Drosophila melanogaster: one gene and its partners. The protein of the gene in region 1 purifies or fractionates together with the protein of each later gene. This does not show direct contact. Each region holds a gene or a part of one and is shown in the gene's direction. Other genes may lie near its edges.

Region 1 (10,694 bases):
CCATCGAAAATAAAGCCTATGAAACCATCGGAGCCAATGAATCCAATCCAACCTGTAAATCTGAAGGGCCAAATAAATCCAATAGGACCAGTGAATCCAATGGACCAAAAAATAATAAAGGACTCAGTGAACCCAATGGGTCAAATTAAACCAATGAATCCGATGTGCCAAAGGAATTCAATGGCGTCAGTGAATCCATATGGACAAATTCATCCTAAGGGGCCAGTGAATCCGAATCCAAATGGTCAAATGAAACATATGGGCCCAATGAATCTAATGGAGCCAGGGAATCCAAATGGACAAATTAATTCAATGAGCCAAATGAATCCGATGGGCCAAATAAATATAATGAGCCAAATGAACCTGATGGACCAAATAAATCTGATGAGCCAAATGAATCTGATGGGGGAGCCAGTGAATCCAAATGTCCAAATGAAACCAATGGAGACATTCCCAAATGGACAAATAAACCCAATGGAGCCAATGAATCCAAATGGACAAATGAATTCTATGAGCTCAATGAATCCGATGGGCCAAATGAACCCGATGGACCAAATGAATCTGATCAGCCAAATGAATCTGATGGGGGGGCCAGTGAATCCAAATGGCCAAATGAATCCAATGGAGCCAGGGAATCCAAATGGACAAATAAATTCAATGAGTCAAATAAATCCGATGGGCCAAATAAATCGGCCAGTGAATCCAAATGGCCAAATGAATCGAATGGAGCCGGGGAATCCAAATGGGCAAATGAATTCAATGAGCCAAATGAATCTGATGCGGGGGCCAGTGAATCCAAATGGCCAAATGAACATGAATTCGTATGGACAAATGAACCCAATGGAGCCAAGGAATCCAAATGGACAAATGAATGCAATGAGCCAAATGAATCTGATGCGGGGGCCAGTGAATCCAAATGGCCAAATGAACATGAATTCGTATGGACAAATGAACCCAATGGAGCCAAGGAATCCAAATGGGCAAATGAATGCAATGAGCCAAATGAATCCGATGGGCCAAATGAATTCAATGTGCGAAATGAACCCGATGGACCAAATGAATCTGATGAGCCATATAAATTTGATGGGGGTTCCAGTGAATCCAAATGGTCAAATAAATTCCAAGGTGCCAGTAAATCCAATGAAGCCAGTGAATTCAATGGAGGCAATGAATCTAACGGCGCAAATGAATGCAACGGGGAAAACAAATCCAATGGAATCCACGGAGCCAATGGATGAGGAGCACCCCTTACTTGGTTCCCCAAGTGAAGCTCCGCCACTTGACCCGCCGCTGACGATGCCCATCGATCTCGACGATGACCTACCCGATGTGCCGGTGTATTATGGTGCTCCTCGGGACTTGACAAAACCACTCACACCATATGTCGAGTCATTGATACAGGCATCCGTTAGATTGCGGCGCAACCCATTGGGTCTAAACTTTATAAACAGTGACAGCGATTCCGATGATGAGGATACGTTTGCTAACCAAACGCTGAGGCCCATTGGTTACGAGATGCTGATGGCCAGGAGACACAACGACAATATTGAACTCATCAGCCGCCACCATCAGGAGCAAGTGGTACTTAAGGTCCGCACCAACACGGTTGTCTGGGAGACCTATAGGAGCGATAGCACGCTGCCGCCAAACAAGACTATTTGGAGTTTTGAGCGCCATGATCCCAAGCCAAGACATGTGACACCCAATCCGTCGACCCAGTCAAATCCAACCATTTCGATGCCCTCGAACGTGACGGCCGATCCGACATACTGGATTCCGAACAACTTTCCCATGCAGCTTGCCAACTTGCATACCAATAATCAGTCGGCTCCGGAAAGTGAAATCCAGTACCTATATGAGAACTGGTGGCACAATGCCAGCTACATGAACTTCTTTGCTAGTATGGACCACATCATGGTCAACCTTTTACAGATCGAGCTGTACGCTGCCCAGATGTACACCGAGTACGGCGAGGCGTTCTTCGAGACGGCCATTGGCAGATACTGCACGGAAGAGTCTACCGGCTCTTCGGCGCCATTTGGTCAGATTCAGCTGCAGTTCATAGAGCGGATCCGCCAGATCCATCATATCAATAAGATTAATCAGATCAATCAGATCCATCGGATCCAACAGAACCAACAGGAGCCGCAGCAGTTCCAACAGCCGCAAGAGATCCAACAGCGACAGCAGTTCCAACAGCCGCAGCAGTTCCAACAGCGGCAGCAGTTCCAACAGCCGCAGCAGTTCCAACAGCGACAGCAGTTCCAACAGCGGCAGCAGTTCCAACAGCCGCAGCAGCAGACGCAGCAGCGTACGCGCAGCTTTTCATCGGAGATGCAAGAGATGGCGCGCAAAATGAGCAGGACATTACTGGGACATCGCCAGGAGCAACACGAGAATCAGGTAATGATAATCACGTTTGTTGGTCTGCAAAGTATATATGTATATCTCTAATATATGCACTTGCCTACCTCCTCAGCCGAATATGCGCTACTTAAAGTCTGGAGAGGAAGGACCACGTCCAGGACGTTTTGATGGAGGCGAAGAGTCGGGCGGACGCAAGCCAAATCGTGGTCTAAAGGTTGCAAGTAAGGACCGCCATTTTTATAAATTTCTAAATTTAATTAGGTTGGGTTATTGCACTTTTAGTATCGACAGCTTGTAGTATCAATGCCAAAACATTATTTGCATTTCCCACAGATTCATGCATTCTAGAAAGCTTTTTTTGAATTTTGTAAACGCTTAGATCAGTAGTATTTAGCATTTGAGACATTTAAGACTTATGTACACTTATATTCACTTTATTCGCAACACAGAGCGTCGCTTTAATAACAAAATGGAGTCGGAGCGCCAAGATAGTGACTCTGATGGGCGTTTTTGCTAGAGGATCGGATGGAAAGAAAGATGATCTCAAAAAACTGGAAGATCTCGCCTTGAATAAAAAAAAACTTCCCACCGCTACCCGGGACATCGAACAAGTACAGGAATTTGGAAATTTGAAAAATCTCAGAGGAACAGGACAACTTGAAGCAGAAATTTTGAAAACATCTATTTGTGGCCTAAATATAAGAGCCTTTTTTTTTTTGTATACCTTTGGAGACATATCTATTAACAGAAGACAGAATTGCATTTACACACATATGTATCTACATATTGTTGACAGAAAAAATAATTGCATTTGCACAGATACGAGAATTGTTTGCTAACAGAAAAAACAATTTCATTTACACACAAATCTATTGGTAACAGAAAAAAAAAATTGGTAACACAAATACGAGAATCTATTGGTAACAGAAAACGAAATTGCATTTACGCACGTATGCGAATCTATTGTTAACAGAAAACAGAATTACATTAACCATTTCATAAACACACCTGATAAAACCACCGAACATGCATCAAAATGCTTGACTCGTGTAAATATCGAATTTGTGTGCCATAAAGTAATCAGTTTCGTGATCAATTTCGTGATTACAATTTTGTGATAGCTAGTAATTAATCCATTCCCATACAATTTTAGGGACTAAAGCAAAACACAATTATATTTACATTTTTTATGCAAACAACTGATGATAATAAAATCTTTACTAAAAAAATAAAACAACTTTCAACCTTTTTGAATGTGAACAATTGTACGAATCTAAAAAAAGGGAAGCATAAGCTGATCTTCTTAATAACGTTGGTATTCAACGCTATTGCGAGGCTGCAGCAATACTTTCCTTCTCAGTGGAAGCTCTGGATGAGTTCCATGATCCATAAACCTGGCAAACCGAAACAAAAGGGAGCCCGCTTCCAACAGGCCGATCAGCTTTCTCCTTTCGATCTCAAAGGTGTTTGACAGACTAATTGCTGCCCAGATAGTCAGGATAACGGAATCGAAAAGGATTACTCCTTACAGTACCGTTTAGCAACTCCATGCCGTGTACAGTATCCGCCCATCAATGAGGCTTAATTGAAGCCAACCGAGGTACCTCATTCTTCGATCTCCTTTAAGGCGGGTACGAATGGTCCGAATTAATATGCCTTTCTATATATGCCTTTACTATATGAGTAATTAAGCTTAAAAAGCTAGTTTAAAAACACGCGCTTTAGTGTATTTGAAATGTGTTTTACCTATTTTCGTTTCGTTTTTCAAAACATCGGCTTTTCAAATATACCGTTATTTATCAACGGATAGTTAGGAAATTCTATCGATACTTCGAAGCGCGCTGGCCACACTTTTCATCTCTATCAATAGTTCCACCACTACTTTCTTTTTTAGCAATTGATTCGTTTTTTTTTTGGACGCACCTGCGTGCTTCAGCCACATTTTTGGCCTAAAACAATTTTTGGCCCCAAACAATGGAGGCCCTAGTGAATTATAGTAGTGAGGACGACCAGGAGGATGCTGGCTTTCAGATACGGGTAAATATGCCTACACCGCAAGGCCGGAAGCAGCTGAAAAAAGAAAGAATCATCAGAGCGCATTTTGTGTACACATACATCTTCATCACTTTTTTCTTCCTTGCGTATATGGGAACCGCGTGTGTGTCGTGTTTGTGTTGTGTGTGTGCGAATGCGCGGAAACGCAAAATAAAGAACTGATCCCATCAATTCAAAAAACATAAAAAAACGAGGAAAATTCAAAACCACTAACCACTCCAATAATACATTTCAAGTATGCTTTGGTAAAATAATGCCAATTTGCTGTTTCTTAAAAGTTGCAAAATTCCCTTGGCACCACAACAACTGCAGCATTTGCCGCATGCTAAATCCTCGAGAACAACAACAACTGCTAACTTACTAGAGCAGAACAACAATAACTATGTTAGCGGCAACAGTCCGCGCGGCAAGGAAAGAGATTGCCGTATTTGAGAACCGTGTGTGTGTGTGTGTGCTTGTGTGTGTGTACGAATGCGCGGAAACGCGAAATAAAGATAACTGATCCCATCAATTAAAAAAAACATAAAAAAAACGAGCAAAAATCAAAACCACTAACCACTCCAATAATATAGTTCAAGTATCCTAGTGCTTTAGTAAAATAATGCGAATTTGCTGTTTCTTAAAAGTTGCAAAATTCCCCTAGGCACCACAACAACAACAACAACTGCGGCATTTGCCGCATGCTAAATCCCCGAAAACAACAACTGATAGCTTATTAAAGCAGAAGAACAACAATAACTATGGCAGCGGCAACAGTCCGCGCGGCAAGGAACGAGAAAGAGAGCGCGAGCGGGAGAGAGAGAAGACAAAGCCGATGTCGCAGCAGCAGAGTCATAGGAGCAGCAGCAGAGGACGCATTGATGAGGTAAAGACTTGCCGTTGCACCAAATCGATATTTACTTCCCATAATATATACCAAATACCATATGCTATTGTACTCCATACGTATGTGTGTGTGTGTGTATCTGGGTTGGAGCGCAAGCGGATCTTTCATGTGCCGTTTCCTTCCGCTGCCGCAAAGGGCGACGCCATCGCCGACTGCGCTGCCAGCAGCAGCACTTACAGAGGCAGGCAAAATAATAGCACAGAGTCCGCTTTAAATCAAACGTCTAATGTATAGATATCAATCAAATCGAAACCGAGATCTTTTAAACTTTTGAGTTAAAGTTAATCCCAGTTGTATACATTGGCCAATTCACTTCAAATAAAAAAGAGAAAATGCCACGTAATGAATGAAAAGTACTTGTGCCAAAAAAACAGGACACTGCATCAAATCAATAATGCAGCCTAGTTTTCAGTGCCTCCATTCCTTTACGCCAGCAAAAGTAATAATTCTATACATAGGCAAGGTCATTGGCAGCAGTACTTCATTGTTAAAACTAAATTAATGGAATGTTAAAACACAATAATGCATGCAGTCCATTCCCCACTGGTTCTATAGTTTATATTGCAATTAAAGAAAAGAACAGATTCACAATCTTTTCTTGTAGTCTTGTAGTTCAGCTTTACTTCGGTTATCATTGATTAATACTTCCATTAGTTACAGATATAAATCGCAGATCTTGTTAGATTCTGCATCTTTAGGGGCTTCAGGCATTTTCTTGTGCTATTATTTAGTCATCTGCTGTTCCCAACTGAAAAATTCAATATTCATATATTTATGTATATTGATCTCCACGATCGACTGCATGCGCTCCAACCCGTTACATCCAAATTTCGCTACTGCCAGATTTATATGGGCCAAAAACTCAAAATTAAATCCAAAGACAGAAAATTCTGTTTGTTCGGTCCGCTTGCGATTTACACACACATTGTTGTTGTTGTTGTTCGGCCAGCTTAGTTAAGTCTACAAACTTTATATGCCAATCAATATTTAAATGACTAAACTCTACCATTTTATTATCATTGTTATTGTTGTTACGTAAACGAAACCGAATCGAACCAAAACGAAAAACCATTTTCCAAACAAACAAGTCAAAAACAAAAAACGAAAACAAACCTGACCGACGATAATTGACGATAGCCCGATCGTAGTAATCGCTCGATTACCAATAGCTTCTTCGATAGTGCGACAATCGATCAAATTTGTTATGACCACCACTGTGTGTGTAGTCCTGTGTGCGACTCTGTGGCTGTGTTGGTGGGTGTGTGTGAGCCACTGAAAAAGGTAAAAGCAAATAGAACGATCACACTCACCACACACATGCCCGCCCGCACACACACACACACACACAACCACCCACCCATCCACCCACTCACTCACTCACTGGTGGCGCGAAAGCGAGAGAGAGAGAGAGAGAGAGAGATAATGCGAAAGAGAGATCAAGGCGCACGAAAGTGAGTATACAAAAAGCGATCAAATAGAACCTAACAACTCTCTAAGCAATCTAGGACACCCCGGAAAGGACCCCAGCTGGTGGCCCACAGCCCGAATCCTCTTTCTATTTCCCCTCCAGCATCCTAAGCATCTAGCAACTAGACCTAGATCCTTAGTCGCCGGCGCAGATTCGTAGATCCATACGCTCTAATGTAATTCTCCTCAATGTGTTGCTTCATCCCGTTCCAGGAGCCGAAGCCCAGCAGTCGCCACCGCCAGGAGCGGGACAAGGACAGGGAACGGGACCGCGACCGCGAACGTGACAGGGACAAGGACAAGAAGCGCAGCGATTCAGAACGCAGTCGCGACAAAGGACGCGACAAGAATCACAGCAAGGTGAGACAGAGTCCTAATCAACTCAGCATAACTCAGCCAAACTAATGTCTGTGCTATTTACAGGGCGACCATCGCCACCATCGTACCAAAGACGGCGACAGCCACAGAGAGCGGGAGCGGGATCGTGACCGGGAGAGGGAGCGAGATCGCGACAAGGATCGGGACCGTAGGCGTTCGGAGAAGAGCAGTCGCCACCACAGTGGCAAGGAACGCCATCATCATCATCACAACAACTCATCGTCAGCCGCCGCTGCAGCGGTCAGTGCAGCATCAGTCCGTCGATCCCATGATGAACGCAGTCGTCGTCGCCGGGACTCTCGATCCGGTTCCCGCACACCAACGGGCACGCCGCCCTCTCGTCGCCGCCATCAGTCGCAACAGTCACGCAAATATCGCGAACGCGACTCCAGCAGCCGCTCCAGATCTCCGAAGGAAGAACAAGCCACAACACTTCGCGGTGGAGCTGTGGCCGGATCTCATATGCTGCTCGCTAAATCAGGCGGCGGAGCAGGATCAACGGCAACTAATGCAACAGCAGCGGCGAGGGTTGCAGCGGCCGCTCTGGTAGCTGCCAATGCAACAGCCGCAGCCATGGCAGCCGGTTCATCCGGCGGCGGTGGCGGCGGTCTCCTGCCCACGCCCAACTATGCGCCCAAGATACCCTCGCTGATGTCCTTGGAGCTGAGCACACCAGCGGCAGCAGCACCAGTCGCAGAACCCATCCAGCTGCCCAGTTACTACAATCCGAGCATCATCAATGCCAATCGCTATGCGGAGCAGCAGCAGAAGCGCAAGCTACTGTGGGGCTCCAAGAAGAGCGAGAACTCGGCGAACAAGTGGGGCAACGCGCACTTCTCCCAGGACTCCGACGGCAAGGTGGCCTCCAAGTTTATGCGGCTCATGGGTATCAAGAACGCTGGTACGTCCGGCAATGACGATGGCAAGGGCGGCCAGGCGGAGTCCACCAATGGAAGTGCAGCAGGCGAGGGAAACCGCGCAGTAAGAGGTGCTGCGCCATCGGGAGCCGCTGGCGGAACGAAAGTGCCCACGGACGTGCAGCAGCGCCAGCGCATGTTCTCCAACATGGAGCAGCAGTACGAGATGGCGCGAGCCGCCACACACACGATGCGTGGCGTGGGGCTTGGTTTCGGCTCCCAGCCACGTACTTTCTAGAAGGGATCGGAACGGAGGAGGATCGGCTCCCTGCCAGGCTGTAAATACCATGCCACTCACTCAACTCATTAGTCAGTCAATATGTTTCTCCTCAACAACTTTTTGTTTGTGTTGAGAAAATTTTTTGTTTTTTTGATTTCAAATAAACGTTGCAACAGAATTTATGAAGTGACGTGGCTCTCTCTTTGGATTTGCTTGGGATAAATGCGTCGTTAGGTAGACTTTTAGTCTACACTATTACTAAGTATGCTAAGAGTATCCAACTTTAACTACAAAGTTCAGCGGCTCTAATCGAAGAATGCTTGAATATTCAATAATAAATAAAGGTATTTTTTTTTACAATAAACAATTTTAAATTTTGGCACTCTGTTTAGTAGATGTCAGTTTTTTGCCATGCACCTTGGCGGTCGGTCTGCCTATCGCCAATCGATAGCTGACCAAAAACAATAACAATAACAAAATCAGCTGACGATAGGACGTCGGATATCGATACCATATCACAAACTAATAATAAAAATAATAATAAATAAGAGAATTAATACTACTAGAACACAAACAAAAGCATATAAAGCTTACACATCCTTTATTAAAACAAACAGCCAAATTGGATTTAAATTGTGGAACGAAGCAAACAGAACCGCTTGAGTTTGTGCCACTGCCACGCAAAAAAAATTATCGTTTCCAAAAAACTAAGCATACTTCATCCGAAATTAGCAATCAGCTAGCCAAAAGCGGAGTGATCTCGTCGAGAAGAGCCACGCCCCCTATCCGCCCACGCTGCCCAGAAGAGAGCAGCGAAGATGTCGTGGCTGAACAGCAGTCTCAGCCAGCTGAAGGGCCAACTAACCAATCTGGCGCAGGAAGTTCTGGCCGAAACGGCAGGACCCGGCGACTTGGAGTATGAGGGACATCAAGCAGGAGGTGCTAGCGTCCAAGACGCCGAGCAGCAGGCCAAGACAGCCCTGGAACTGCTGGCCGAAACCCAGGAGCAGAAGGAGCAGCTGGACAAGCGGTGCGAGGAGAAGGATCGTGAGGTAAAGCCAACTCACAGTCACTTTTGCGGCTTCTTCACCAATGGCCATCCGATTGCCCCTTTCAGATAGCCGCCCTGCGCCGAGAACTGGCCAAAAGCAAGCAGAAACAGGAATCCCAGCTGGCAGCCAGCACATCAGCTACGCGGGAACCGCAGTTGGTAAGTGACGTTTGATCCGAGGGACCTGCAGCTGGCCCCCATGTGGCCATGCCACATCCGGTGCCCACTCCGTCTTCCAGGAAACATTGCACTCCGGCGTGGAGTGGTGTTTGACCGGCTTTATCTTTCAAATAAGCGATAAGCCCAGCTCTCGCGCTCTCTGTTTCGCTTTTGGCCACATATCCCTGAATTAATATTTAAACTGCGATAAGCTAGGAGTCGGCACTACCCTAGTTTTATCTGCACTTCTCGCGTTTACCTGATGCCACATTGTATGCTTCACACGGAGAGAAAAATGGTTGCAGTGGCATATTGTTGTTTTCCGTGGCACGATTACAAAGCGCTAGAATTCACCGATTTCTGTTTTGCCAACAATTAAAGGGGGGTTTAAAATAAGCCAAGTTCTCGATTGCAAAGAATGTACTAATAGTATGGCAGGGTAAGCCATATTTCATTAGAGCGTCTTGAGCTTTCGGATTAGCAATCTAATGCTAAAAACGGTTTTATATTAACTTTCTCCTGGATAAATTTGAATTTGAATTTAAACTGATTTTTCATTTGACATCCATTCACCTTTTTCCCCGTGCAACTTCTATTTGATTTCACATTCGGTGGTGTTTGGTGTCTGCTATTTGCCTGGCTGTCATAAATCCCTGGTCTCCTTTTCGATCACCCCATATGCCTGTTAGCCTTATCTAGGCGTGCTGCTAACCCTATCGCTCCATAGCCCTCCGTTCGCCAACTGCTTGTTCAATTTACCGAATTATTTCTGATTAGGCAAGTTACTGCAGCGCAACCCCAAGTGTCTGATATTCCCGTTGAAAATGCAGGGTGACGGGGTTGCATTTGGAGCCATTTGGTTTGGTCACTGGGGCGATGGAGATCTTTCTGAAGCACAACTGTACCAGATTTTCCATAGTCACCTTAAATATAAAAAATATGGCTTTTCACATTGTAGATCTAGTTTTAAAATACTAAATGACATGCATATATAACCATAGCGTTAGATGTTATATTTTTTTCGAAATGATTGAATTACTCTTTGGCAATTTTATTAGAATCGTAGATACTTTATTTAATTCTTAAAATAATGAACCATTGTATTATGATCTAAAGTTCAAATCGATCGCATTGCCAGTAGGTAAAAAATTAGAAATCCCAAAGACTTTACAATATGGATTACGAGTATACTTT
Region 2 (11,486 bases), on another chromosome or scaffold:
CCGGCGGCGGCCATGTGCTGCAGTCGAGCGTGGACACTCAGACTGTGCACGTAGTCCTGGTTCATAAGCTCGGCCAATCGCCGGTAGCTGAGATCCGTGGGCGCAACTCCGGCGGCGGCGGGATTGAAGGGCAGGAAACGCGTATCCAGCGGATGCGGCAAGGTGGGTGGAAGCTGTTTCTCCAAGGCATGTGTTGGTGGATGTGGTGGTGGTGGTTGTGGCTGTGCCTGTGCCTGTGGTTGCTGTGCAGCAGGATGACCAGCTGGACTGGAGGGCAGGTAGCAGCCGCCGGCAATTAAATGCGTTAATCTCTCGTGATTCTGAGCGAAGTAGCCGTGCAGCCAGGGATTATAAAGCGGAAACTGGGTGAGTCCCAGGGCCGAACTGGCTACCATGGCGCGGGCACTCAGCTCCTGCTCCTGCTCTGCCTCCTGCTCCTGGTCCCGCTCCTCGGGCGGCGATGGTGGTGTGGCAGTGGCAGGCGTTTGGTTGGCGATCAGACTCTCGATCGAGAAGGGCTTGGGAAAGGGCTTGCTGGCCAGCCTGGTAGTGGGCGATTCCATGGTGCCGATCTCTCCGTTTTGCAGCAAGGCCGGTCGTTCCATATTGCCCACTCAAAAGCACACTTTCAGGGCGATCGAAACTAACTTCTTTCTTCTAATTTCTCAACGCGTTTCTGTTCCCGAGCAGACACGACGCAGTGAACCGTTCAGAGATCTGCGAGCGACTGTCCAAGTGCAGCAGACATCACGTACGCGTACGGCACCCAAGTCGAAGCCCAGAAGCCCAGAGGCGCCGAGCAACCACCACCACGGATGGTCTGGCTCCTCCTCCATTTCAATATGGCGCATGACAAACAGCTGGTGTCTCTGTCTGGCGCGCGCTCCCATTGGCCAGCTGCTAATTGCCGGGTGGTGCGGACAGCGAACCAGTTTCCGGCAATGGAGCAGCACCACTACCACCTCCACCACCGCCCGCGTTCCCGCTCCGTAATTGCGTTCTGCTCGAATCGCTCGGTAATCAGACATCGCCGGACTGGCGAAGAGAACGCCCTGCCATTAATGCCCCATCTTCGCCAGCTCCTTGGCCATTGGGGAGTACTCCCGCCGGCGGAGGACGGAGGATGGAGGATGGTGTTCTCGCGAGGCATATTAGTGACCAATTTAAATTCAAATGTCAGTTGCCAGTGGGTGTGACTGCTGGGCATCATTAGCAGACACTCCAGTGTGCTCAACGATTTGTATCTGCAACTTAGGTGCATATCTATTAGTCTACGGATATCTGGTTTTAATTATCTAAACATACCAGTAAACAGCTCTGTACAACTATTAATTTTAATTGGTGGTGTTTGAGGTATTTAGTTGGTTCTTAAGCGCACTAATATAGATTTTAAGAGAGTTTAATTGAAAGTGACATCCGTAACAGGCAGAATTATTCAAAGGAATACTCGTATTTCTTGGATGGTAGCAATCGCTGATAATTTAATGACCCCTAATTTATTGCAAGGATTAATATTAACAATGATTTTTTGTAGGCCTGATATGCCAAATTAAATATTTTATATAACTCGTTTTAAAGGTAAACAGGCATAAATACCTCCAACAAGTGTTATTACATAGGGTATATATACATACATAGGTTATACAAAAGTACGTTTATAGTATCCACAAAATACAGACAACAATCCATTGCAGTCGTGACCCCCACCGTCCCCAAGAAGCAGATGGATGGGACTACTGTTTCCTACATCCGCTGTGGACAAATCCACATCCGTTCCCTGATTCCTCGATTCCCCCGAAGCACCCACAATTGATATGCCGATCGTTCTTCGCGCAGCAGGTGGCAATAATTTGCATGTGTATGGCTTAATTGATCGTAATTGACCAAATTTTTGGCCATAAGTGACGAGGCGTCCATTGATTGGAGCGCAAATTGGCATTGGTCACGTTTGGGTGTTTGAAATCTTTTACGAGCACCGAACATTGCGAACATTTAACCGATTCCACAGCGGCATAAATTACAATACAATTATGCGGCTCGTTGATAATTTTGGTTTTCTGATTATGATGAAAGCTGTTGGGTTTTGTTCGGCACTTTGGCAGCTTGTCAAGAATCAGCAGGGATGGGCGGGGATGGATCCTTATAGACACTGTCCGCCGAGTGTGGGTAAATATTTCTGGGCAGCTTCCCTTCTTCTGACGGCGGAAAACGGGCAAATTAACGAATTGCAACGAAGCGTTGAATGCGCTCAAATAAATCAGAGCACTGTTGACACCATCATCATTCCTCATCCCCGGATTCGCCAACCCCAGTCCGTGGTACCCCAATCCTTAATGCGCAGTCCCCAATCCCAGTGCCATGTGCAGAGGGCGAAAGATACATCTCTACAGATACTCTCTTTCGTTTGAGCGAGCGCGTTTTTTAGATTTTTTTGATTGCCTGCAGACGGAGAACAATTCGAAATTATTTACTGACAAATCGTTGCGAATTTTTGGCATATTCCTGAAATGCACAGAAATGCGCACACTGCACAAAACGAACACAATTAAAGCTCTAGCCATACGTATAATGAGATACAAAAGTATCTGCAACTAAGTACCTCGAATTGCTCGCTGTCTGCGGTCTCTAAATTATATCGTTCGACTAATGAAATTAAAATTTCATGCCATTCGACGCAATGTGAAGGCGAACATGTGTTCCCGTGACCGCAGAACACGGAGCTACACGGAGCATATAGTCATATAGCTGGAGCTGTCCGATGTTTGCCCAACATTGGACACGCCCCCACTCAATTTGCGGCGATACTTCGGATCCGGCGGATGCCTACTGCAGTTGGTAATTGTGTCATTTTACCCCTTCTACCCCATCCATCTAGCCATTATTGCGCATACATACATACCTCTATCCTGGCCCTTTCCGCGACCTGTAATTAAGGACCTCTGGCTTATGCCAAATTGTTTACACAATTTAATTGGAATATCGAAGGTAAATTACAGTTGTCGATGCTCGTTTGTGGGCAAGCATGGTTTATTCAGTAATTAGCGGGTCATTCGATTGCATGACCACTCATTGAATATTCCATATTCCATATTATATTGGTGCTGAATACCTTTGCATGGGAATTAGTCGTATTGACTGCCTTCGTAGGAAAGTTATTCGAAAATTAATTGGGTTTCTATCTACTTAACTTTTCCTACTCCTTATTTATCGACCTTAAAATGAGTTTAAGTCTTAATATTTAAGGATTTGATTTGTTTCGGTTGTATAATTAGTATCCTAATTATTGGTGTTTTTCCTTTAGTCTTTGTACAATACTCAATCAACATTTTTTTGTTTGCAAGTAGTTTGTAATTTTTTATAATACTCCTTAAATTTAATTGACTTTTGCTAAGGATTTCTATAAGAGAGTGGCACGGCTATATGAATATGGTGTACTCTGATAGCCAAGTTCAAAATTATTATGTCTTCCTACCAAAATAAATGTAACTAAACAACAAAAAAAAGTAATGTTTGACGATTAGGTAATTTTATGCTAGATTTTTGGGAAGAAGATAGAACATTATATGTCTTAAAAATAGATTTTTTTCTATAAAACCGGAATTATCTAATATAAGCTTAAAGAGAGATGAGATTACATAATAATTTAATTAAATATTTAATAATTATTTAATAACATGTTTAATGACATACTTGAGTAATATGAAGCGGAAATACCTATTTTTATCAAGTGGTGTGAATATGACATTTTGAAATTCGATATGATGTACATTGGTATTTATTCTGCGGCTGGATGGTATTTTTATTGTTATCGGCCCTGGCGCACATATGGTAACACTGTGCTCAAAGTCGATTAGTCGTTTTTCGTTGGAGAGCTTGCTGTTCGCATTTATCCGCCTGCTCGCGCGTAGAAAAGTTGTTACTTAATGTTCATTGCTGCCACACGTGCTTGATTATTAATTGCAGTGCGCTAATCAGTCGCTTGTCAGCTGAGCAGACCACAAAAAACGAAGGCAATTATTTAGGCTGCCCTTTCAGTTCGGCATTACATAAGAAACGAATGGCCAAACGAAAATAATTTTGAAACAATTTCGGAGTTAATATTGCATCAGCAATTCTGAACAGCAGATACACAAAAAGGGCAGCAATTTGGCCAACAAAGTCTTCATAAACGACAACAAACGAGTGAAAATATGAGCTGGGCAACAACAAAGCAAAGGCACAAATGTTTCAACTGTAGCAGCGGCAGCAACAAAAACAACCGGAGCAGCGGCAGCAGCAGCAACAACAACAACTGTGCGCCTAGCAACAAGATAATTTCGACGAGCGATTTCCTTTGATTTGCGCCCATCTGTGTCGAAAGCAGCCGAAAAGCCAAAGAGTGTAAATAGCACGTAGTTTTAGTACAATTCACTGTAGCAAAAGTGAGTTTCAACCGGGGCAGCCAATAAGCCTGCGATAGCAACAATAATACAGAACGAGCGCAAAAGAAATCACCAGAGATTGCACAATATGAATCCGATCAAGGCACAGTCAACGGGCAGTCCCAAGAAATTCAACGTATTCGCACACGTCAAGTACGAGCATTTGGTTGCCGGAGTATCCGGCGGAGTGGTGTCCACACTCATTCTACATCCCCTGGATTTGATCAAGATTCGATTCGCAGGTGAGTCATCCACACGCCTCGGGGAATTCCACGATTTCCGTGAGCAAGCAGTAGTACACTAATATAACATCTTATAGGGAAATATATTTGTTGAATAATCCAAAATGCCAGTGCTCTAATTTAAGTATTGTGTTTCGCAATATGGCTCTGTAATATAGGCACCTTTCTGATTAATCTGGGCTTAAAATAGAATACAAAAACTATACCTATTAAAAGAAAATTGTCAACTGATAGAGAAAAACGTATATGTCACCATAGGAACTAGCACTACGTATATTGCTGTGTAGTAAAGAGCACTCGGCACGTGCGGGGAAATGCCGCCAGTCTGGCTGCAGATTATTGTTGCACTTTACTCGCCGCTCGCGTTTTGTTTGCGCAATGCTTTACAAATTTTCCATGGAAAGTTTGAGACGCTACTCGGGTATCCGAGAATTCGCACTTGATTTTTTTTTTTGTGCACCATGGAAAATTTGAGAAGCCCGTGTAGTCAAGTAGTGACGTGCATGCTTTCGCACATAAACAATGCTGATGAATGGGGCCACGGGCACGTGAAAACATAGTTTTTCCTCAATGCGATAGAAAGATGAAATTTATGGTTGTGTTGACAATTGTGTGTGGAATCTCAAATTGGTCTAATCTGGATTTTGCAGACAGGAAACGTGGGGCAACAGCAGTTCGAATTGTTTACTTGCTTTTACTTTTATGCCGCCTGGCCAAAGATCGATACAAGCTATCAACCTTTGATATTAATGGCTATAATATGAGCCATCAGCTTACGCAGGCCATTGTGTTTATGACTATTTGCTGAAAACTACTTCTTTGTAGTCAATCTGAATCATATGTTTGGCCTCGTTTGCGTTTCATGCGCAAAATACATGAACAACATTTCCGTATAGTCTGCTTCGGGATACCAAAACAACAACAACGAACCGAGAGCGGGTTTCTTGATTATTAAATATTGTTGCCGTCCAGTTTGCCCGGATCAGTGCTAAAAATCGTTAACGCAGTAAGTGAATATGTAAATTCACCAGAAAAGTGGCTTGTAAACAATAACAACCAGCACACGAGTTGTTTATGCGAATTAAAGTCACACCATGCGAGTTTTGTGAACTGATAAAGCGAACCCAAGTTGGGATGGTTAGAAAATCCAGAGCTAGTGGTTTCGCCGCAATGAACCTCCTTGAATCCGGTGGCTTCTCGATTTGGCAACAGCTGTTTTCTATTGACTTGCGCAAGGCCTTTATGGCGATGACGCATTTTGGCCAAACGAAACCCGTTTATCTTGCTTTTGATTTTCTGCTCTTGCTCGTTTTTAATCACGTGACCACTTGACTCGACTGTACATTGCAATGGCTTTGTTAACGGCAACTTTCAGCGGCAACTGTCCGGTTTATGTGGCACAAGCGCCAGTTCCAGTGGCTAAAAACGAGTTCCAACTGTTGCCATGCGGGAAGTCGACTGATTCAGCACTCTGCGACCTTATCGCTGCGACTTTATCGAGTGCATGTCGAAAAACTCTTTACGCTGGCCAAAACCAATGTGGTTGCTTAGTCGTAAATACCCCAAAAGAACTTGCCTCTTGGGCTGTCCAGTCTCCTTTCAAGGTCACCCATGAGGATGCTATAAATAGTCTAGAAGCGAAGACGAGCCCCTTTCTTCTGCCTGGTACTGTTGTCAGGCCAGATCTTATGATTGCCCAGCTCATATAGAATATGTCGTCCCATATAAATAGCTAAGTATCTGCTAATGGGCGCGAAAACAAGTAGAGTGGCTGATTTCGACGCTCCCAGCTTATCGCATCCGCTGGCAATTAATGCTATCTATCTGCTTTTGGCGAAAACAACTTTGGCCACGGGCCTGGACTTGTTGGTTTCGGAGTCAACAACTGATATTCCCGTAGACGTACAGTTGCCTAGGTGAAGAGCAATACACACAATATGACGCATTCGCCGGCCCTTCAGTGACAGTATCCATAATCATAATCGTGCCAGACCCAAGGCTGCAATGTCTAGACATGTTTATCATTTACGAGCGTGATTCCTTCTCCACTTGCAGTTAACGATGGCCGGACAGCTACGGTGCCGCAATACCGGGGACTGAGCAGCGCCTTCACCACGATTTTCCGGCAAGAGGGCTTCCGCGGACTCTACAAAGGCGTCACCCCCAATGTCTGGGGATCGGGCTCCTCTTGGGGCCTGTACTTCATGTTGTAAGTACTTTGCTCTACTGATAATGGTAACAAACCTAAATGTAAATACTCCCTTCAGCTACAACACCATTAAGACATTTATCCAAGGAGGAAACACGACCATGCCATTGGGCCCCACAATGAACATGCTTGCAGCTGCTGAGTCGGGAATTCTCACCCTGCTGCTGACCAACCCCATCTGGGTGGTGAAGACGCGTCTCTGCCTGCAGTGCGATGCCGCGAGTAGTGCCGAGTACAGGGGCATGATCCACGCCTTGGGCCAGATATACAAGGAGGAGGGAATCCGTGGCCTGTACCGCGGCTTTGTTCCCGGCATGTTGGGCGTCTCCCACGGAGCCATCCAGTTCATGACCTACGAGGAGCTGAAGAACGCCTACAACGAATATCGCAAACTGCCCATCGACACGAAGCTGGTGAGTAGGCAGATCACAAATGACCAACCCATCACATGACCAAGCTGCGCGTGGCGTTGACATCGCCTATATACTAAATTGGGTGAACAGATGCGGTTAACTTAATAGCACAAAATTATTACTTATACAAATAACAAAATACTTTGAAGTCTTTAAGTTTAATGCGTAACGTTCAAAAATTGAAAATCTATCGAGTACTTTTTTTTCAATTACTTTTTTCGTTAGAAGACTTTCTTAATCAGAAAAATATTTGTTCGCTTTGTTATATTTTGTGTGACCACATCTGTATCTGTATCCGAATATATCTGGTTGTGATGACGTCTCCGCCATTTGGCAGCCATTCAGCTCATTCTGTTCGCCTCACTAATGTGTGCTCCCTCACCCACAGGCCACCACCGAGTACTTGGCCTTCGCGGCTGTCTCCAAGCTGATCGCAGCGGCGGCCACCTACCCGTACCAGGTGGTCCGGGCACGGCTGCAGGACCACCATCACCGATACAACGGCACCTGGGACTGCATCAAACAGACTTGGAGGTACGAGCGCATGCGAGGTTTCTATAAGGGCCTGGTGCCCTACCTGGTCCACGTCACGCCCAACATCTGCATGGTCATGCTGATCTGGGAGAAGCTGACCAGCTAGATGGAGTATTAGTACTAGATCATCGAATCTGGAATCTGACAGAGAATTTAAGCTAAGCACCTAGAATACACGAATCTTTCTCGTTTCCTCCGATGTGCAGCTAACAGCAGAAAATGACAAACTTATTCTGTATTATTGTTGTAACTCGATTTCGGTTTAGCCCTAGCACCTTACTTTAGCCTTAAGTGTATTCCATATCTAGTTTATTGTACATCCTTCACTCCCAACTTCGAAAGTAACTGATGTGATCGGGGCGTCGTCAAAATAGCCCCTGCCCATGAAATGTAATTTCAAAAACGCATTTCTTGCACTCTTCATCAAAACAAACACATATTTAGTTCTTAGTTTAGTTAAATTATTTATTCTATAACGGCTTGGAATTGTGTAAGCACAAAGAAAAACCAGTTACTGTTTAGTTGATACAAAATTTCGTTTTGGCAAAAAGATTCTTCATAGTTTTTGAAAATGGTTTATAATTTTAAGGATAAACCTTGACATTTATGTAAATAAGCATAAACGCATTGTGAAACCAACTTAGTCCTACAGTGGAACAATCTTATTGAAATCAAAGAAAAGATAAGAAATGCGAAATTACTTACCCATATTAAAAGGCCACGATGGCAGACCTAAATGAAAACCAAGAAACAAACTAAAGCAAACACTGTCAGCGCGTCCAGCCTGCGTCTTTTCATTTGTCCAAGGGCTCATGGCAGCTTGAGTAAGTAGTCCTTGCTCCTTCCGCTCCCTAAGTCTTCGATCACCCCCTTAATTGTGCAGAATCTCTTTGCTAATCTGAAACAGCCAATGCGCCCTTACTGTAAGTAGATGTAGCTTTCAGTTCTCAGTCTCTAACCGCATTGTGTTTGGTTCTCTTTGCAGGTTTGAGGGCTACAGAGGCTTCTACAAGGGGCTGAAGGCGAGTTTAACCCGAGTAGTGCCTGCCTGCATGGTCACCTTTCTGGTGTACGAGAACGTCTCGCATTTCCTGCTCGCCAGGCGGAAGCGAATTGAGACTAAAGAGGATGCGTCGGACGTGTGATTTTCCTTTGGTTGGATTCCTTTTAGGCTTCTAAGATACATATATCACCTCACGACATTTCCATATGTCTCTATAGTCAGCGGGCAGTTGCAATCGTGCTGAGCATGCGCAGCTGCTTTTAGTTTAAGTTTAGTTAGTTGTTGCGAAGACTTATTTGGTCTTTTCGTAGTAAGTAAAGTGATTGTTGTTCCTAAGTGTGGATCAGAATGGATTTGTGATTGAATTCAGACGAAAGTGTTACAATATACCTGTGAAATATAAGTCCATAGCCTCACTCTTGCAAATAAACCAAATCTTTGTGAGCCAAAGAATGCCTTTTTCTGGGTGTGATATCCTTGTTTAAATGAATAATAATAAAAAAAATAAACTATCTGGAAAATTATACCATCTGGCATCTTTATAGATCGTGTAAGCTTTGCAAAAAGCAACCACAGTGGTATCCCTCTAGGAGTAGTATATATTTTTATATTTGAATTAACGCCGCTCTAACTTAAAAATCGATTTACCGCCAAACGATGCGGATTTCAATCTAGTCCGACTCGGAGTCCGTTTAACGGTTTTCTACGTAGAGCTTTTCGCAAAGCTCTCGCTTTCGGATTTGTTCGTGCGACAAAGTTTTCCTTTTGTTTTCGGTTCAGTTATAAACTGAAATTACTGGAGGTCGGACGTCTCGAGGCTCGGAATCACTGTTGTTGTTGTTTTGCGCCGTCTTGGCTCGTGTTGTTGTTGTCTTGCGTAGTATTGCGTGCCTGGAAATCGAACGTGTGTGAATTTAATTTACGATTCGTATAATTATCAGCAAGAGCAAACAATATAAGTTGCAAACGACCGTTTAAGCCCTATGACACTAAGATCCAAAGTAAGTGGCTACCACCGAACTGTTCCATTTGCATTTGAAACCAGTTTCCAGCGATTCGAGTGCATGAAATTGTCCAAAAAAGTGCAACGGTCGAGTTCAACAAACCGATCGATTGAGATAACACCGCAAATATATAGCTGTGAAACTCGCAAATAAATACCTACATATTCTTCTGATAAGTTCAAGAACAGTCTAGCCATTGTTTACCGTTAGACCAGAACCACATGTTGCTCGGGATCCGCGTTCCGAAGAGCGAGAGTTATACGTCTGTGCCTGGAGAGGGCCACTAGAGCGCGTGTGAACGACCTTGACTGGGCGGGGGCGTTAGATAACTGCGGAGAAGGTCTAAAGATCACACTCACCCACCCCGTATCGGTGGTTGCATGGCAACCGGCGTCATCCAGAGTAGCGTTGTCTCCACCTCCGCCGGACGCCAGAATATCTGCGACTGCCTGGAACAGGAGTCCGCCGGATTGGTCAAGGCCCTGCCCAAATCCAAGTCGGCCGATCAGCTCTCGGAACTCACCTGCGCCTGCCTGCGCTGCCAGTACCTGGCCACGGATCTTCAGCATCCGAACACCCAGTCCGGTCACCTGCCCGTGGAGCACAGACACCGACCCGTGAGCTCAGGCTCCGGTTCACTGGGCGCCCTCAGCGCCAAGGAGTCGCCCATCTTCGTGCGCCGCCAGATCTGTTTCCCGTCCGCGGAGACCCAGCTGCATCCGCCGCTCAGCTCCTCCCAGTTCTCGCTGCGAAGTGCTTCTCCGGCCTACGCCGAGCCCAAGCCGGAGTTGGATCTCGGCGCCATAGAGGCGCTGCAACTGACCACGGTCATGCCCGCGGGAGTCAACCGTAACCACATGGACATCAACAGGAACAACGGATACCTGCACAACGGAGTAAGTACCTCCACCATAACCCGCAATGGAAAGTGTTTGCCTACAGCCGGCACGTGCCAAAATGTAATGTGGGGAGGAGGGACATACTTTAAACAATTAAAAGGGCGTGAACCCATATGTTAGGGATCAGAATGCACCTACATTCATATGTACTTGGTAATTACTGGTTATTATTTTTAATTTGAAAAAGGAAATCTTAAATAGTGAAGCATTAGCAAATAGTCATAGCACACCAACTTTCATGCGATTTTAAATTGGCGTTAAATGATGACTTTTCAAAAAAAAATATATACTCTTTTTTTTGCAAGTGTGGGAAATGCCCAAAAATAAGTTGGCCAAGTGTTGCAATGGCTTTCGCTATTTCGCCTCGTCAGGCCGTTAACACAACCAGCTTGTACTCATTAGCCGTTTTAGTTGCTCAGAGAACTTTGCGGAAACCCACCAGATGGGATTACGGAGCGTGAATAATGCACGGAATGTGGAATATCGCAATGGGGAATATCACAATGCACTGATACAAATAATTACATTTTAATTTAATTTCATCTAAGGATTTTTCCACGAACATTCTAATTTCCCTATTGAAATAAATATGAATCAAATTTAAGGCAAGTTCAAAAGTCCATAAATTAACATTTATATTTTAATACTATCTATACTATAGATAAAAATCGAAGCTTTTTTTTATCAGTGTACCCATTTTATTACGTTTTTCCACCCACACTACAAAATGAATTTCCCTTTCAGAATTAGTTTGCTTCTAA
Region 3 (8,208 bases), on another chromosome or scaffold:
CGGATTTTATTTTTATGGCTTGAACTTGAACTGTAAGCGGCTTCCAAGTGACTCACGTCCAAGGCAAATCTTGAACACAAAATCAAGCACTCTGCTCCCCTTTGGAGTCGCCAGGAGGGACTCCTCCAGATAAGGTGTAGAAATCTCTGACGTATTCCCAATGCCAAGAAATATGCAGACGCTATCCACACACGTAGATACATATGTAAATAGGCATGTGTGCCACGATGAATAAACATGGGAAATCGTCTACCTAAAATTATTGTTAGCCACGCACGAGACAGCTGACCGCACAGTGGGCCTATTTACAATATTATCGAAAGAAGCATTTAAAAAATGAGGAATTTCTACTTTTTCTATGACGTATTGTATATTTATTATGAACAATTATGTAGTTCCAAGCAAATGCCCCAAAATACGCAATGCTAATTATGTACATATGTGCACATATGACGATCTTGTTTAATTATTTCGCACGCAGCATCGTTTTTTTTTTTTGGCACAAAAACTGATTTAGAACGACCTTCGGGAAATTCGTCATTGAAAATTCCCGGTAGCTGAAATAATATGTACATATGACTTAACTAATCCCAACTGTAACTTCCTGCGTGCTGCTTTTGCTGGGTGTGCCATGGAGCACGAGAGGATTGGCGCCCAGCTCTCGGGGGGAATGGGTCATCGTGTCCGGCTCACGTGTTCCGTCTGCACTTGTTTACGTAAAGTGGCGCTGCATACTCGGAACTAGTTCTGCGCTGGGTTGGCCGCCCACCCTGCTGCCTTCCCCGCCAGCGCTTCACTTGCTCATCATCCCGCTCCTATCGAGAGTACTACGTGTCTCTGTATGTCTATTATTACCGACACCGAGCCGTGTTGTTGTTTACCCGCTGTTTCAGTTGCGTTTTTTTTTTCTGCGGAATTTCTCTGGTGCGATGCGCGTGGCGAATTGAATCGGCCATTTGGCAATTAAAACTGAAATCGATTTGGCCGTGGCTCAACTTCGAAGAAAAGGGGCGTGGCTGGGGGCGCGGGGTCAGGTGTCACGTGTCGTCAGCGCAAAACAGTCAGAACTACTGCCACCCGAGTCATAAATATTTGGGTTAATGAAAAGGGAATATCTGATTACATAAAAATGGTTTCACAAGAAAGTATCTTTCCATTAGCTGCGCGAATGTGTAATATATTTTTGCTTATGCACCAATGCATTAAATTGTAGTTCAAAAATAACTTTGTTTATTTCGAATTGTTTACTGCTTTATTGGATTTTATTTATAAATTGCTTGGTAAACAAGTGCATATGTGTCGATTAAACAAAACAAGAATACAACTTGTGTTGGTTCATTGAAGTAAAATTGTTATTCCTTTTTGAGAAAACTTATTAACCCTTTGGCTAAAAGTTACAAGTTGGAGTGGTGGAAAAATTGGCAAAGGGAAATTTGAATAAAATCCAGCGAATGAAGAAATTTGATAAATGATGCTTGCAACTACATATAAACAGAATGCAAAGCTAACCAAATGCGGTTTCAAAGAAAAACTTTATAATTTCATAAGACTAAATGTGATGTAAACGAAACGTAACACACAAAATATGGGAAAGTAATGTAGAGCATTGATGGTAACCAATCTGTTTCTCGATCTCTTCCAGCTGAAAGTCAATTGAATCTCTGTTCCTCCGTCACCGCGTCGCGAAGCCGTTAAAACTGCCGCTCCCAAACATTCGCTGCGATGGCCACCTCATCGATACTCGCCAAAAGCACAATTAATAGCACATCGCCACCGGCCACGCCCAGCAGCAGCGCGTCCCCCGGCTCCACACTGACCACCCGGAAGCGGACCTACGAGATAGCCATTGCCATGCCCTCGTCCACCGCCTCCAGCAGCGCCACAAAGGTATCGGAAGTTCAGGATCAGCGCACAAACAGCCCCGGCAAGTCCAAGAGCAGGCCCGGCCAGCTGGAGAGTGTCTTGGTGGTCGGCGAGGGAGCCAGCGAGCCCACCACCTCGGCCACCACACTGCGGGACAGCACACGCACCATCTCACAAAGCGACGCCGACGATGGCGGCGAAGCGGCAGCCGCCGAGGACCTGCTGCCCCCACAGTCGGATTACCTCAACGGCGTCAAGCGGAAGTACGTCCCGCAGCAGCAGGCGTCGCCGAATCACCGGGTGGTGCCCGCATCCACCTCGCAGCAATTCTTCAGCGGGGCCTCCGATTTTGCGGTAAGTAGTCAAGAGTTAGGATGCAAAGTTAGTCTAAATCGTAGTAGCTGAAATCGTTTGAAATTGATGTTCGAGTCGTGAGTCGTATATTTCCGACGATGTGTGATAAGATCGAGAAAGAATGTGTAGACCAAGGACACAATCGTCCAGTTGAATAGCCCAACTAATCGGGAACTTTTCTTCCTGCAGACAATTTGCAAGCCGGCGCCCTACTCTCACGACGAGGAGGCCATGCTGGAGCGGGATAGATGTGACTACACTCAAAGGATCACCTACCAGATGGCCCGCTCCGGACAGACGACCCGCAGGGTGAGGGTCTACGCCGATGGCATCTACGATCTTTTCCACCAGGGCCACGCCCGCCAACTAATGCAGGCCAAGAACATCTTTCCCAACGTGTACTTAATTGTGGGCGTGTGCAACGACGAGCTCACCCACCGCATGAAGGGACGCACCGTGATGAACGGCTTCGAGCGATACGAGGGAGTGCGTCACTGCCGCTATGTGGACGAGGTATGTTCTGCCCGGCACTGATTAGAGATCTTTCAGTCTATAGCATCTTACTCTGTCTTGCAGATCGTCCAGAATGCGCCATGGACTCTGTCCGATGAATTCATCGCCGACAACAAAATCGACTTTGTGGCCCACGACGACATTCCGTATGTAACCGATGGCATGGACGACATCTATGCTCCTCTCAAGGCGCGCGGCATGTTTGTGGCCACGGAGCGCACTGAGGGTGTGTCCACCTCGGACATCGTAGCCCGGATCGTCAAGGATTACGATCTGTATGTGCGTCGTAATCTGGCCAGAGGCTATTCGGCCAAGGAACTCAATGTGTCGTTCCTGTCCGAGAAGAAGTTCCGGCTGCAGAACAAGATGGACGAGCTGAAGTCGCGCGGCAAGCGCGAGCTGAGCAAGGTGAAGGTGGACATCATCACCAAGTGGGAGGAGAAGTCGCGCGAATTCATCGACACCTTCCTGCTGCTGTTCGGACGTGAGAACCTGAATCATTTGTGGAACGAGTCGAAGGGCAAGCTGCTGCAGGCACTCAGTCCGCCGGGCAGCCCGTCGGGATCAGTGAACGGTGATGACACGGAGGGCGGCGAGGACTACAGCGAAACTATTGACGAGTACTTGGAGATGGCCGAGAAGTTGAGCGGGGGCAGCGGCAGCGGCAGCAGTGGATCGCTGAACGGCAAACAGAGGCCGAAGCAGAAGCGCTCCTCGCTGGCCCGCCGCAGTTACCAGAGTCTGCAGAGCCAATCACCCGACTTGGAAGCGGATGGGGACGAGGATGCGGATGCGGATGCGGAGTACGAGCGTCGAAGCAATTGATTCTATTGCGGGGCAGCCCGATCTTTTCTTCTTCTCTTAATGTCTTTAATGCTATTGTAAATGGACTTGCTTGCAACTAGTTCGACGGCACACTATAGATGCCCCAGGATCGCCACGCAGGCTCCACGAACACACACTTATATTTACTCTAGCCCTAAGTGGTATTGTAATCCCAATGTTTTAGTTGGCACTCGTTCTCCTCCTGCCTCAACTCCACCTGCCCATCTCCATCTGTGAGAATCGAGGGAATCCTGTAGCTAATTTAGCTGTGTGTGTGTGTGTGTGGGACAAGCAACCACCAACGCGGAAAAGACTCATTTTTGTATTAGGCACTCGACGGACTGTGCACGAAATCAATCGGCAGTGGCGGCAGATTCAGGTGCCGAAAATATCTAGAAATATTTATATTAAATTATTTCGCATAACATTAAACTAAGTTAACAACACCGCAACCAGAACACCAACCAATATAGAGAAATCCAAACAAACAAATTACGAAATACATTCGGAAAATGCAAAAAACAAAAACAAGTAATTAGTAACAGTTGGCAATAGCGGAACTATTGCAAATGCTTTGTTAAATATTTTTTGAAAAATAAACATTGAATCGAAAGGAAATAGAAGTAAAGCGAGTGGCTTGTGAATCAGTTTGCTATCTCATACGTTTATCCAGCAATTGCGCATCCGATTCAGCAGCCATCCATGGCACTGCTGGAATTCTTGAGCGCGCGCCACCGATGATGATGAAACCGTTTGCCTTGATTGGACACCCATTCCCTCGCAATTAGCTGCCCATTCACCGGCTTGAAGCGGTTCACTGATTTGTTTAATGGCGCTGCGGTTTATATATAGATGCGCACCCATCGCCTGATCGAATCGGCGGACCCGTGCCAAGTCAGGCGACCGACCCGTTGCTTCCTATTTGCTTGCGCCGCAATTTGCGGCAATTGAAGATGAGCGATGAATCCGAGCCAGAGACTTGGGCCTGAGACTGCTAGAGCCGCCTCCAAGTCGTGTGCCTCGCCAGCCGCTGGACTCAATTGTATTGATTCGCCACCAGTTGCCGCCAATTTATTCTGATCGCAGCTAGTGCGCAGTTGGGGACATCTCTCGCTCAAAGTCTCGGACTCAATCCTCGACAGAGTAGACCTAGAGGGTTATGCCGGTTCCGTCTCAATTTATGTAATCAGTCGTCCGGATGAAATCCCCTTGAGCGGACCACTAGTGCTGTACTTAGTTGTGTATACTCGTACATATATTTTTATAAGCAATGGACAGAATGCCGAAAGAGGACGACGAATCTCCAGTGTCGACGGCTCCTGCCACACCGACATCGCCGATGGAGTTTAAGATGCTACCGCTCTTTATGGACTTTGAGGATTTTGTAAGGCTACTCCTTAGAGGAACAGGAGTTGCCACATACTAATCTCTCTACCCCAAAACGCCTCCAGAGCATTTGCCAGCCTGCTCCTTTCTCGTACGATGACAAGGCCATGCTGGAGCTCGAGAGATGCGACTACACACAGAGGATCACCTATCATATGGCCAGAGCTGGGAAGACGACGCGCAGGGTGCGGGTCTATGCAGATGGCATATATGATCTGTTCCACCAAGGCCATGCCCGCCAACTCATGCAGGCCAAGAATGTGTTTCCCAACGTCTATCTCATCGTCGGCGTGTGCAATGATGAGCTGACCCTCAGGATGAAGGGACGCACGGTTATGAATGGATTCGAGCGCTACGAGGCGGTGCGCCACTGCCGCTACGTGGATGAGGTAAGTGTGTTAAACTGAACCAATGAAATGTTTCTATACACTTTTCGATCCATCACAAGATCGTTCCGAATGCTCCGTGGACGCTAAATGAGGAGTTTATCGAGGAGCACAAAATCGACTTTGTGGCCCACGATGACATACCCTATGGAGCTGGCGGAGTCAACGACATATATGCTCCACTCAAAGCGAAGGGAATGTTTGTGGCCACGGAACGCACTGAGGGCGTGTCCACGTCGGACATTGTGGCCCGAATCGTGAAGGACTACGATGTATATGTGCGCAGGAACCTGGCCAGAGGCTACTCAGCCAAGGAGCTCAACGTCTCCTTTCTCTCCGAGAAGAAATTCCGTCTGCAGAACAAGATGGACGAGCTGAAGACACGAGGCAAGCGGGAGCTGACCAAAGTCAAGGTTGACATCATCACCAAGTGGGAGGAGAAGTCGCGCGAGTTCATCGATGCCTTCCTGCTCCTGTTCGGCCGGGAGCGGCTTAACACCTTCTGGAACGAGTCCAAGGGCCGAATCATTCAGGCACTCAGCCCACCAGGCAGTCCGAATGGCTCCGTAAACGGTGACGATCCAGACGCAACAGACGACTTAGACTCTGAGGATGAGTACATGGAGCTGCCACCAGACTACGGGTCTGGTAGTTGCGTATCCCTTAGTCGAAAACAAAAGCGCCCTGATAAGGTGAATGCCTCAGCAAACCTCAATTACTCGGAGCAACCAGAGCATAAGGATGTCGTAGACGAGCGACGCAGCGACTAAAGACGAATTTGGCCTCTTCCTATCAATTAAAACATAAATAAATATGTTTGAAGTTTAATGGAACAGCGCAGTAGGCACTTTTATACATATTTAAAAGAGCTACCAGAAAAAGTATGCGCTTAAAATACATTCCGATAAATTTCAGTTAAATTATGAATATTTCTTTTGGCAAGAAAGTAAAAAGGCGTTTATTTGATATTTTACTTGCTGCCTTTATTGGTTATCTTATGTGTATTGTGAATATAAGTTGGGTTAAATTATAGATTAGCTGAATGATTTTCCAAATCCTCTTCAATGATAGAACAATCGCATTTGTTATTTAAAATAACGTTGAAATATTCGCATAAAAACAAAAATACAATAAATCTTGTAACTTCATAAGCGATCATCATCTAGCTCTTCATGGAGCTCTGTTCATGCCCGTGGCGAACAGGGGAACCATCTTCTTGCCCTTGGCCTTCTTTTGCTTCTTCGATTCCGCTGGAGCTGCTCCATTGGATTTTGCTGCTCCTACCTTTTGCTTTTTCTGGTCCAAGGCTCCAACTAAAAGTTCTCCCAGACCCCAGTGGCCCACAGATCGCTGCTCAAAGTCCTCATCGCTGGTTCTTGGGACCATTACAGCCCGTGGCGGCGGTGGAGCTGAACGGCCCCAGGCGCCCACTTGAACATCCAATGGCGCGCCACCACCTCCAGGAGAATTACTTCCAATAGTGGGCCACATCTCCTGCTTGGGACTTCCCAGAGTGACACTGGAGTATCGGGAACCGGGGTCCTGGTTGCTGATGTTCATGGGCACAGAGCCACTGGGAGCGGGCAAAGCCTCCTCGAAGCCGCACTTTAGATAAAATATCACATATTAATAATTGACACTAATGGCAGGCATTGCTAGCTCACAGTGGGAAACTCATGGGAGGAGCTTAGGTCAAGGTTAGCTGCACTGGCAATAAGTTTGCCCATCTGGCGGTCATTTATCTCGTTGATGTGCTGCTCTCGCTTGCGCTCCTCGCGATCCCGACGCTGTCGTTCCTTCTTACGATGAAGAATGTCCTCTGCGGAAGGAATACATATAAGCATAATGCTGTACATGGACCTAGTGGACTTACCCTTAAAGAGCTTGAGTATTCCTCCAGTGACCACTGGCGGCTGCAATTCGACTTCCACAACCGAAAACTGACAAGTCAAAGGCAAGTGGCCAAGACAAGTGAACTTGCGTCGATGCTCCTCATCCATAGAGTGCTGTTCCATCTGCACGATTTGGGCTTCGATGAGTAGCGGACCCAAGTCCAAGGTGCCGTAGCAAGCCTGAAGCATCTTCACGTTCAAGGGATGCAAGTAAATATTCTGTCCGTCGTTTGACTGGTAGAAATAATAGTATTTATTATGGTTGCTCGAGTAGCTAAGGCTGCTGGATGCTTCTCCCGACGAGATGGAGGCATCGTCTGACTTCTCAATATCAATCTTGGTCTCGGTTTCTAGGCAAAGTACAGGTGCTGTCTCCTCTTCATCCTCTTTCGGATCAGGTTTCTCGACACCCAACTTCTCAACACGCTCCTGAAGCATCACCAGCGCTTGCTGGATGAACACATCCTCGGGACAGGAGACATCCGATTCGGCTAGCAGTTCGTTACGCTCCCTCTCGATGATGGCGGCCACATCCATCCGCTTGGCTATTAGAAACTTTGAGTAGCGTTTAGCCTCTTCACCAGCGGACACAAAGGGGAAACGTTCAATTGTTTCGCCCAATCCTGCAACATGATTTTCAATGTACATGGAGCCCTTGCGACGCCGCATCAACTGGAAGGTAATCTTCTCGCCCACTTGCAAATCCCTCAGCTGTTCGATGGTGCAGCTCTTCAGATCTCCCGCGTGGATGGCGTCATAGCAGATAGGACACTTGCGCCAGGTCTTGTCGCTCAGCGAGAGGTAGTGCAGCAAGCAGGGCCAACAGTAGGCGTGTCCGCATCTGGTGAGCTTGGCAGCCACAGGCGGGTACAGGCAGATGGGGCACTGCAACTCCTCAGTGGTCTGTATGTTGATCTGCTCGATGTAGCTCCAATCGATGAGTGCATCCGGCGAGCCATTAACCTGAGCCTTTGCACCCGATCTAATGA

The links.
Region 2: the proteins of CG6340 (region 1) and CG8026 purify together in Drosophila melanogaster (affinity purification with mass spectrometry, with the first as the bait; one large-scale study listed by BioGRID). This does not show direct contact.
Region 3: the proteins of CG6340 (region 1) and Pcyt2 purify together in Drosophila melanogaster (affinity purification with mass spectrometry, with the first as the bait; one large-scale study listed by BioGRID). This does not show direct contact.

Annotation. Positions count from the first base shown.
Region 1 is NC_004354.4:15,478,134-15,488,827, forward strand, and holds CG6340 (uncharacterized protein), read left to right. Parts: upstream 1-4,240; 5' UTR 4,241-4,341; coding exon 4,342-4,404; intron 4,405-5,048; coding exon of another isoform or gene 5,049-5,065; coding exon 5,066-5,287; coding exon of another isoform or gene 5,288-5,542; exon of another isoform or gene 5,543-6,247; intron 6,248-6,396; coding exon of another isoform or gene 6,397-6,435; exon of another isoform or gene 6,436-6,759; intron 6,760-6,988; coding exon 6,989-7,135; intron 7,136-7,198; coding exon 7,199-8,308; 3' UTR 8,309-8,479; downstream 8,480-10,694. Other genes in the region: CG6324 (uncharacterized protein), read left to right, coding at 1-2,403, 2,480-2,588, 2,817-2,884; Gmap (golgi microtubule-associated protein), read left to right, coding at 9,109-9,342, 9,408-9,500.
Region 2 is NT_033778.4:9,184,453-9,195,938, reverse strand, and holds CG8026 (uncharacterized protein), read left to right. Parts: upstream 1-3,842; 5' UTR 3,843-4,190; coding exon of another isoform or gene 4,191-4,337; 5' UTR 4,338-4,509; coding exon 4,510-4,663; intron 4,664-5,592; exon of another isoform or gene 5,593-5,669; intron 5,670-6,718; coding exon 6,719-6,872; intron 6,873-6,930; coding exon 6,931-7,285; intron 7,286-7,673; coding exon 7,674-7,819; coding exon of another isoform or gene 7,820-7,925; exon of another isoform or gene 7,926-8,804; coding exon 8,805-8,964; 3' UTR 8,965-9,269; downstream 9,270-11,486. Other genes in the region: unpg (unplugged), read right to left, coding at 1-605; CG45085 (uncharacterized protein), read left to right, coding at 4,191-4,337.
Region 3 is NT_037436.4:1,549,072-1,557,279, forward strand, and holds Pcyt2 (phosphocholine cytidylyltransferase 2), read left to right. Parts: upstream 1-4,421; 5' UTR 4,422-4,825; coding exon 4,826-4,939; intron 4,940-5,006; coding exon 5,007-5,330; intron 5,331-5,389; coding exon 5,390-6,097; 3' UTR 6,098-6,244; downstream 6,245-8,208. Other genes in the region: Pcyt1 (phosphocholine cytidylyltransferase 1), read left to right, coding at 1,723-2,217, 2,407-2,730, 2,794-3,555; CG12099 (uncharacterized protein), read right to left, coding at 6,498-6,932, 6,992-7,146, 7,201-8,208.